2 linked regions of the Xenopus tropicalis genome follow. The protein of the gene in region 1 purifies or fractionates together with the protein of each later gene. This does not show direct contact. Links are inferred from orthologs where the notes say so. Each region holds a gene or a part of one and is shown in the gene's direction. Other genes may lie near its edges.

Region 1 (3,656 bases):
GATAGTACTGTTAGAATCTCAATTCTTCCTACTTTCCTTTTTGCAGTATGTGGGGAAGCTGCTGCAGGAGTGGAGGATGAAGGTGAGGCTCAAGCTGGATGGATTGAAGGGGCAGCCATCTTATTCTCGGTCATCATAGTTGTGCTTGTTACCGCCTTCAATGACTGGAGCAAAGAGAAGCAATTTCGAGGCCTACAGAGCCGAATTGAGCAGGAGCAGAAATTCACTGTTATCCGCAAAGGACAGGTTATCCAAATCCCTGTAGCAGAGCTAGTAGTCGGTGATATTGCACAAATAAAATATGGTATGTATAGGAAGAGTTTTTATAGACTATCACTGTTTAGAAATACAATAACAGTATTGTTATTTTCCCAGCATTCCACTGTAAACCTGTTTTATGATCTGATGTATAATCTGATGTATTTGTTTGTTATACAGGTGACCTCCTTCCTGCTGATGGGATATTGATTCAAGGCAATGACTTAAAAATTGATGAAAGCTCTCTAACTGGGGAGAGCGATCAGGTGAAAAAATCATTAGAGAAAGACCCCATGCTTTTGTCAGGTAAAATTGTTTCTATACCTGTGGGGTTAATTCTAAATAGAAGTGCTGTCTAAATTTGGTGATTTTGGTTGTATTTTTTTTTTTTTTTTAAATTGTATGGTGGCCCTTGCAGTTCTCTGTTGCTTGATGAATCCACACAAGTAGCAAATCGGTTCATAATCTGGCACATTTTTTGGCTATTCACTGACATTGTCGGACTAAGGTGTCTAGGGCCCCCCGTCCCAGTTGGTATTTGCAAGTACGCCTCTTCCACCCACCCCACCTGCTGCAGGTTTTTTCCTGGTGTCCCGCCGGCCCAGTCAGACCCTGATCACTGATGCAGTCGCATCAAATATGTTATGAGTAAAAGGGAACATACCGTCAAAGATGAATGCACAGTTGTAAATTAAATGTTTGTATGTGCAAATATTGTACCTACATCCCCACAAATATGTTTAAAAGTGCACATTTTAGACTTGCAGCCAAACTACATTAAGCCCTATAGCTATAGGGTTACTAAATGGCACAAAATGGAATCCTTCACCAGACTTGCAATGGTATGCCACAGGTACTGTGGGGTTTAGAATTGAATGCAAATTCTGGGCATATCAGGAAGTTTTAGATTATTGCAATTTTTATAACCCTCAAATATTTAAAATAAATAGATATATAAATTAGCTCCATGATGTTAGTAATAGCTTCTGCCTTGTTTGCCCACAGGAACACACGTAATGGAAGGGTCTGGACGTATGGTAGTCACAGCAGTAGGTGTCAACTCTCAAACTGGCATAATATTCACTTTGCTAGGTGCAAATGAGGGAGGTGAAGAGGAAAAAAAATCCAAAAAAGGTAATAATCCCTTGCACAGTATTTAAAAATTGGGTTTATAATGAGCAACCAAGGAACAAGAGTAACTCACTTGGATTTGCTCATGATTCATTGTAAGTTCACAATCTAAGTAAAAAAAAAAAAAAAAAAACAGATATTGAGATTGTGTAACATTTTTTTTGTTTTCTTTTTTTTTACATCGTTGTATAAAATCTTCGATCTGACACTTTAAATGAAACAAATTATGTATGTACAATTCCAAAAATGTTTTAATATATATTAATAAATATTGTAAAAATAAAACAAAACTGGGTTTATGTCAGCCCTTTACAAATGATTCTGGTTTGTATCAGACTATATTTACATGTGCAGAGGTCTACATACTACAGCAGTCTTCAAGTAAGTTAAAACACAGAATAGAAATATTTCTTCTTTGCTTTTGTGATCTGGTGTGCATACGTATACATAACTAATTTAGCAATTTGTGACTGTCAATTGTATTTTAGATGACATGGTTGGAAAGAAAATATTGGTTTTAATTTTCCTATATCAGTTCCTGTATCCTGTATTTCCTATATCAGCTCCTGCTTGCAATTGGAAATCCTTACAAACTTGTCTTAATTTTTCTAGGAGATTTTTTTTGGAAAAATTCCTTTTACCTTCCGCTGTCCTCACATCTTTGCTTTGCAACAGTTTTTTAACACTCACTGTGTCCTATTCACAGACTTTTTCTATCCATACTCATCTCTAACATTTGTGTGGGTGAGCATTTGGGGAACAGTGATCACAACATGGTCTCCTTTGAGATAATGCTGCAGAGACAGCTCTATAAGGGAGTAACTAAAACGCTCGATTTTAGATGTGCAGACTTTGCCAGTATAAGGGCATCTCTGCAATGTGTCAACTGGGAAAGGCTTAGGTTAGACACGGAAGGAAAATGGAACATCTTTAAAACATTGCTTTGCTGGTATACACAACAGTATATTCCCCTTGTACGAAGGAGAGGCATCGCAAAGCAAAACCTTTATGGCTGAATAAAAGTGTTAGTGTCGAGGTTGGTAAGAAAAAACGTGCTTTTAAAGCATTCAAGTTAGCTGGGACAGACGAAACTTTCATCAGGTACAAGGAAGCAAATAAAGCATGCAAAAAAGCTATCAGGCAAGCTAGAATAGAGATGGAAAGGGATATTGCAGCTAGGAGTAAAAAGAATCCAAAATTATTTTTTAATTATGTGAATGGTAAAAAAATGAAGCAAGAAGGGGTGGGAACCTTATTATCACAGGGGGGTAAGTTGGTTGATGAGAACGGGGAAAAAGCAGAAATTTTGAACTCCTTATTTTTCATCTGTCTATACATCTGAGGAGCCAGCTAATGAAGGCTTCCCTTTTAATATGCCCAGTTCTAGTAATTTAGCTACTGACACATGGGTCACTCAGGAGGAAATTCAAAAGAGACTTGAACATGTAAAGGTAAACAAAGGTCCAGGACCGGATGGGATTCATCCCAGGGTATTAAATGAGCTGAGCGCTGTGATTGCCAAGCCTCTTCACATAATTTTTCAGGATTCGTTGAGGTCTGGCATGGTGCCGAGAGACTGGCGAATTGCTAATAAGGGATAGGGTACTTTAATACAGTGCAGTTCACAATACTATAAGTTTGTGCCAGCATGGTTTTATGCGTAACAGATCTTGCCAGACTAATTTAGTCGCCTTTTATGAGGAGGTGAGCAGGAACCTCGATGCTGGAATGGCAGTTGATGTCATCTACTTGGACTTTGCTAAAGTGTTTTATACAGTACCTCCCAGAAGGTTGATGATCAAATTGAGGAATATTGGCCTAGAACGTAATATTTGTAATTGGATATAGAACTGGCTGAAGGATAGATTACAAAGAGTGGTGGTAAATAGAACATTTTCTAATTGGACCAGTGTGGTTAGAAGAGTACCGCAGGGGTCAGTCCTTGGTCCTTTGCTTTTTAACTTGTTTATTAATGACCTGGAGGTGGGCATAGACAATATTGTTTCTATTTTTGCTGATGACACTAAATTGTGCAAAACTATAAGTTCCATGCAGGATGCTGCCACTTTGCAGAGCGATTTGAAAATATTGGAAAACTGGGCAGCAAACTGGAAAATGAGGTTCAATGTTGATAAGTGCAAAGTTATGCACTTTGGTAGAAATAATATAAACGCAAACTATCTACTGAATGGTAGTTTGTTGGGGGTATCGTTAATGGAGAAGGATTTAGGGGTTTTTGTAGATAACAAGCTGTCTAATTCCAGGCA
Region 2 (3,656 bases), on another chromosome or scaffold:
CAGCCCACGCCATGCCACTATGTGGGGTCTGCTGTATAGTTACGCTACTGAAACTAAGTATATTCTCTTTGCATAACAATATGTTGTGTGCACTGGCACACGCAAAATTTGTGTGTGTGCATACGCACATACTAATTAGGTCAGTGTTGTATGCAGTCAGGTTTATCTCATAATATTCAGCTAGAAAGGTCCTGGCCAAAAGAAAATGAAGAAGGCATTGCTTTTGCAGAGGGCCCCTTTGGGAACTAAACCCACTTGTACCTTTTTCTCCCCCCAAATATTCCCAGTTTGTCATTGTCTTAAGACTTTAGTTTAGCATTGTCCATAATTAAATCAATTTTGTATTTGAATTTAAAAAAGAAGGCACAGTTAAGATTAAGTAAGCTTTATCAGAAAGGTCTATGTAAATATACCAATAAACACTCACAGTAATGCTGCTCTGAGTTTCAATAGAAACATGGCATTCCTTTACTTCAATTCTGTACACATCGACTTCTATATCAGACTTCTTTCTCTCACCTCCCGGGCATGGGCATGAACCTATGCAACTTGCTTCTCTCTCGCTCTCCCCCTCCTTATTCCCTCCTCCATGTAATCTGAGCCCAAAGTTACCAGTGAACAGGGAAAGATAACTGGCAGCAGGAGAAGGAAGTCACACAAAGCTAAACTATTGGGAGAAAACAGTGTCCGTAGCTTTCCTTCCCTTTTAACCAGATATTGTGTTGCTTGATTGATTTTTTTTTAAGGTCCTACTGATGGTAATCAGCTGTTTCTCCTACTGTAAAACTTCTTTGTGTCAGTTCCTGCCACCTTTGTAGTTGAAATTGCTATCTGCCCTGGCACAGGGGACACTAGTATGGACTTGGTTTCTCTAAGTAACTGCACTGCTTTGTAAATTAGCCCAGTATTTGAAACTAAGATCAACAGCAAACAGGGAAATTTGGGAGCATTTTATTGTTTCATGGGCGGGGGTAAAGTGATCACATTGGCCTCCATTCACTTTAATTAACAATTGTAACCAACCAATGCAGTTTAATTAAAGTGATTATCACTCAAAAGTGCTTAAAGGACATGTAAACCCCACACACAAAAATGTAATCGGTAAATAGCCTCTTTGAAATCTTTCAATACCTGCCACACTGGCTGTCCAGAGATTAATATTAAGGCTGCAACATGTCTCCTCCTCTAACCCACTCAGCCCCCTCCCTTGGGAATTTGCTTTGGCTGTTGGCTTGTGGGCATGCTCAGTTGTTCTAAGCTCAGATTACTAAACATGCCCCCAGTCTAGCAGCCAGTGAAGAGATGGCATTGCTGGTTCCCATAGAAACTCAGCTCTAGCTGTCTGCTTCAATTTTTTTCTCCCAGCCAACTCTGAGCTCAGCTCAAACAAAGCAGAACTTTTATCAGAGGCAGTTGTGCCTGTGTGAGCCTGTATTCTTGATGAAATGTATGCTGAATAAGGGTCTGTATGTGTGTATGCTGTTTGCAGATTTAAATGCATCCAATTATGTATCAGAGGAAAAATGGCCACCGGGTGAAAGCTGCTATTTGCTTTAGGAAAATGTGATGGTGCTAGCAAACGGAGGGGATATATGCAGTACAAATGATGCCATTTGGGTGGGTTAGACGTGCCCAACTGATATACATTGTAGGCAAATGTAGGCTTTACATGTCCTTTAAATGTGATGTAAACCCTGCTGCACCGCACTGCTCAGCTTTTCTCATTTGTTACTGGATTACAAATTCCAGAATAATGTTACATATTATGAAAGTGGTGGAATGCTGGGATCTGTAGTCCAGCAACAGCAGGGTTGTATTCTCAAAGCAATATTGCACAATTAAACTTCCTAAACTTTTCCTCAAATCTTCACTGCTTTAAAATGTGAAAAATCCTCCAATGAGAATCCCAGCTGATCTGTGTAAATCTAGCTCCCTGTTCTTTGTTCCTGCAATCTGCATTCTCACTTGTCAATTCTTTTTAATTTATAATAAAGTTATTAGTAGAATTTCCATTGGTGAATTTTCAAGCATCTATAATTTTTTTTTTGGTAACTTTTATAGCAAAACTAGGGGGTGCAGTGGAACAGCATCATGGCTGGGTTTACAACCCCTTTAAACATGCTTACTGCAACAAAATGCTGTGTGCAACTATCTTAAAGGAAAATAAAAAGGAATACCCCCAGAATAAATAACTTATACTTAACCAGATGGTTTGTCACATTAAGTGGCCTATTAAAGAATCTCGCCAAACTGGAATATATATCAGTAAATATTGCCCATTTAGATTGTTTACCTTGAGCCACAATTTAGTGATGGGCTGTGTGCTCCCTCGGAGTCACCTGGCTAGAAATAATGCAGCTCTAACTGTAACAGGAAGTAGTGAAGGAGCAAAAGACTTTGTCTATTCATTGGCTGATGTGGCCTTGCATGTATGTATGTGGGCCCTTGGTTTGTGTGTGTGCACTGTGAATCATATAATCCAGAGAGTGGTCCTTAGTACTAAAAATGGTAGTTTTCTATTTAGGATTTCCCAATGGCACAATCTACTAAAAAAAAAAATATATATATATATATATATATATATATATATATATATATAATTATTTTTTTTTAATTTTTTTTTATGAAAATAGTTTATTTAGATGAATAAGGGATTTACACCTGAGCTGCTTTATGCAATATTTTTTTTTTATAGAGACCTACATTGTTTGGGGATATCAAGAATCAGATCTATGTATGTATCCTTTCTTACAGTAATAATAAAACATTAGTATAGTCCATTTTCTGGTTGAATAGAATCCAGACATTTTCTTTTTGTTCATAGGCTTTTTGGCAGATGTATAGATTAGATATTGTTGATGGTGCTTATTTTTCTCCTATTATTTTACAGGAGGTCAACAATGCAAGTGGACGCATCTTTATTACCAACAAAGATAACAATACAGAGCTGAGAATCATTAACCTGGATATCAATAATGACCCTGGCACTTACCTTTGTAATGCCTCCAACACTGTTGGCTCAGACAACACCACCACCATCTTGCGTGTACGCAGTAATTTAGCACCTCTGTGGCCCTTCTTGGGTATTGTTGCAGAGATTGTTATCCTGGCTGTCGTTATTGTGGTGTATGAAAAGCGCAAGAGGCCGGACGAGGTGCCAGACGGTAAGAGTTGGGAAAAGGGATGTTTGTAATTGTAAATTATTAGCTTCTAAAACTGAAAAAATAAATTGGGATAAAGAGAGTGGTCCCCTGTTTAATTGAAAACATTTTTCTCATGTTATTTTTCTCCTGGCACAAAAATCTGGATATATTGTGCAAAATCCAGAGCATCACAAACCATTGTGAAGCCACTAGATTTTGAAGTAAGCTTGTGCATGGAGACCAACCTAAAAGGTTGCTGTTTGCCTTAAGATTTATTGCTTATGCAGGGGTAAAATTCATCAAATTAAAGATGTCTTGTAGGCAAAAATGTGTATTTTATTTAGTTTTTATGTATTTACATTCAGAATAGACATTTTGCGCTTCAGGAAAATGTAAACAAAAGCTGGCTAGATATTCATAAAGCATAATGTTAAGGCAGATAAATCCCTTGCAGATGTCTTTATTACACCAAAGAAAATGAAAAATACAGATCCTCACAAAAAAAACTGGGGA

Evidence for each region.
Region 2: the proteins of plasma membrane calcium-transporting ATPase 4 (region 1) and nptn purify together in Homo sapiens (co-immunoprecipitation; 3 studies listed by BioGRID and IntAct, with this or other methods). This does not show direct contact. The link is inferred for Xenopus tropicalis from reciprocal best matches to the Homo sapiens genes ATP2B4 and NPTN.

What each region holds. Positions count from the first base shown.
Region 1 is NC_030678.2:70,269,445-70,273,100, reverse strand, and holds part of plasma membrane calcium-transporting ATPase 4, read left to right. Parts: intron 1-46; coding exon 47-304; intron 305-438; coding exon 439-564; intron 565-1,263; coding exon 1,264-1,392; intron 1,393-3,656. UniProt on the Homo sapiens protein: Calcium/calmodulin-regulated and magnesium-dependent enzyme that catalyzes the hydrolysis of ATP coupled with the transport of calcium out of the cell. By regulating sperm cell calcium homeostasis, may play a role in sperm motility.
Region 2 is NC_030679.2:92,482,233-92,485,888, reverse strand, and holds part of nptn (neuroplastin precursor), read left to right. Parts: intron 1-2,890; coding exon 2,891-3,164; intron 3,165-3,656. UniProt on the Homo sapiens protein: Probable homophilic and heterophilic cell adhesion molecule involved in long term potentiation at hippocampal excitatory synapses through activation of p38MAPK. May also regulate neurite outgrowth by activating the FGFR1 signaling pathway.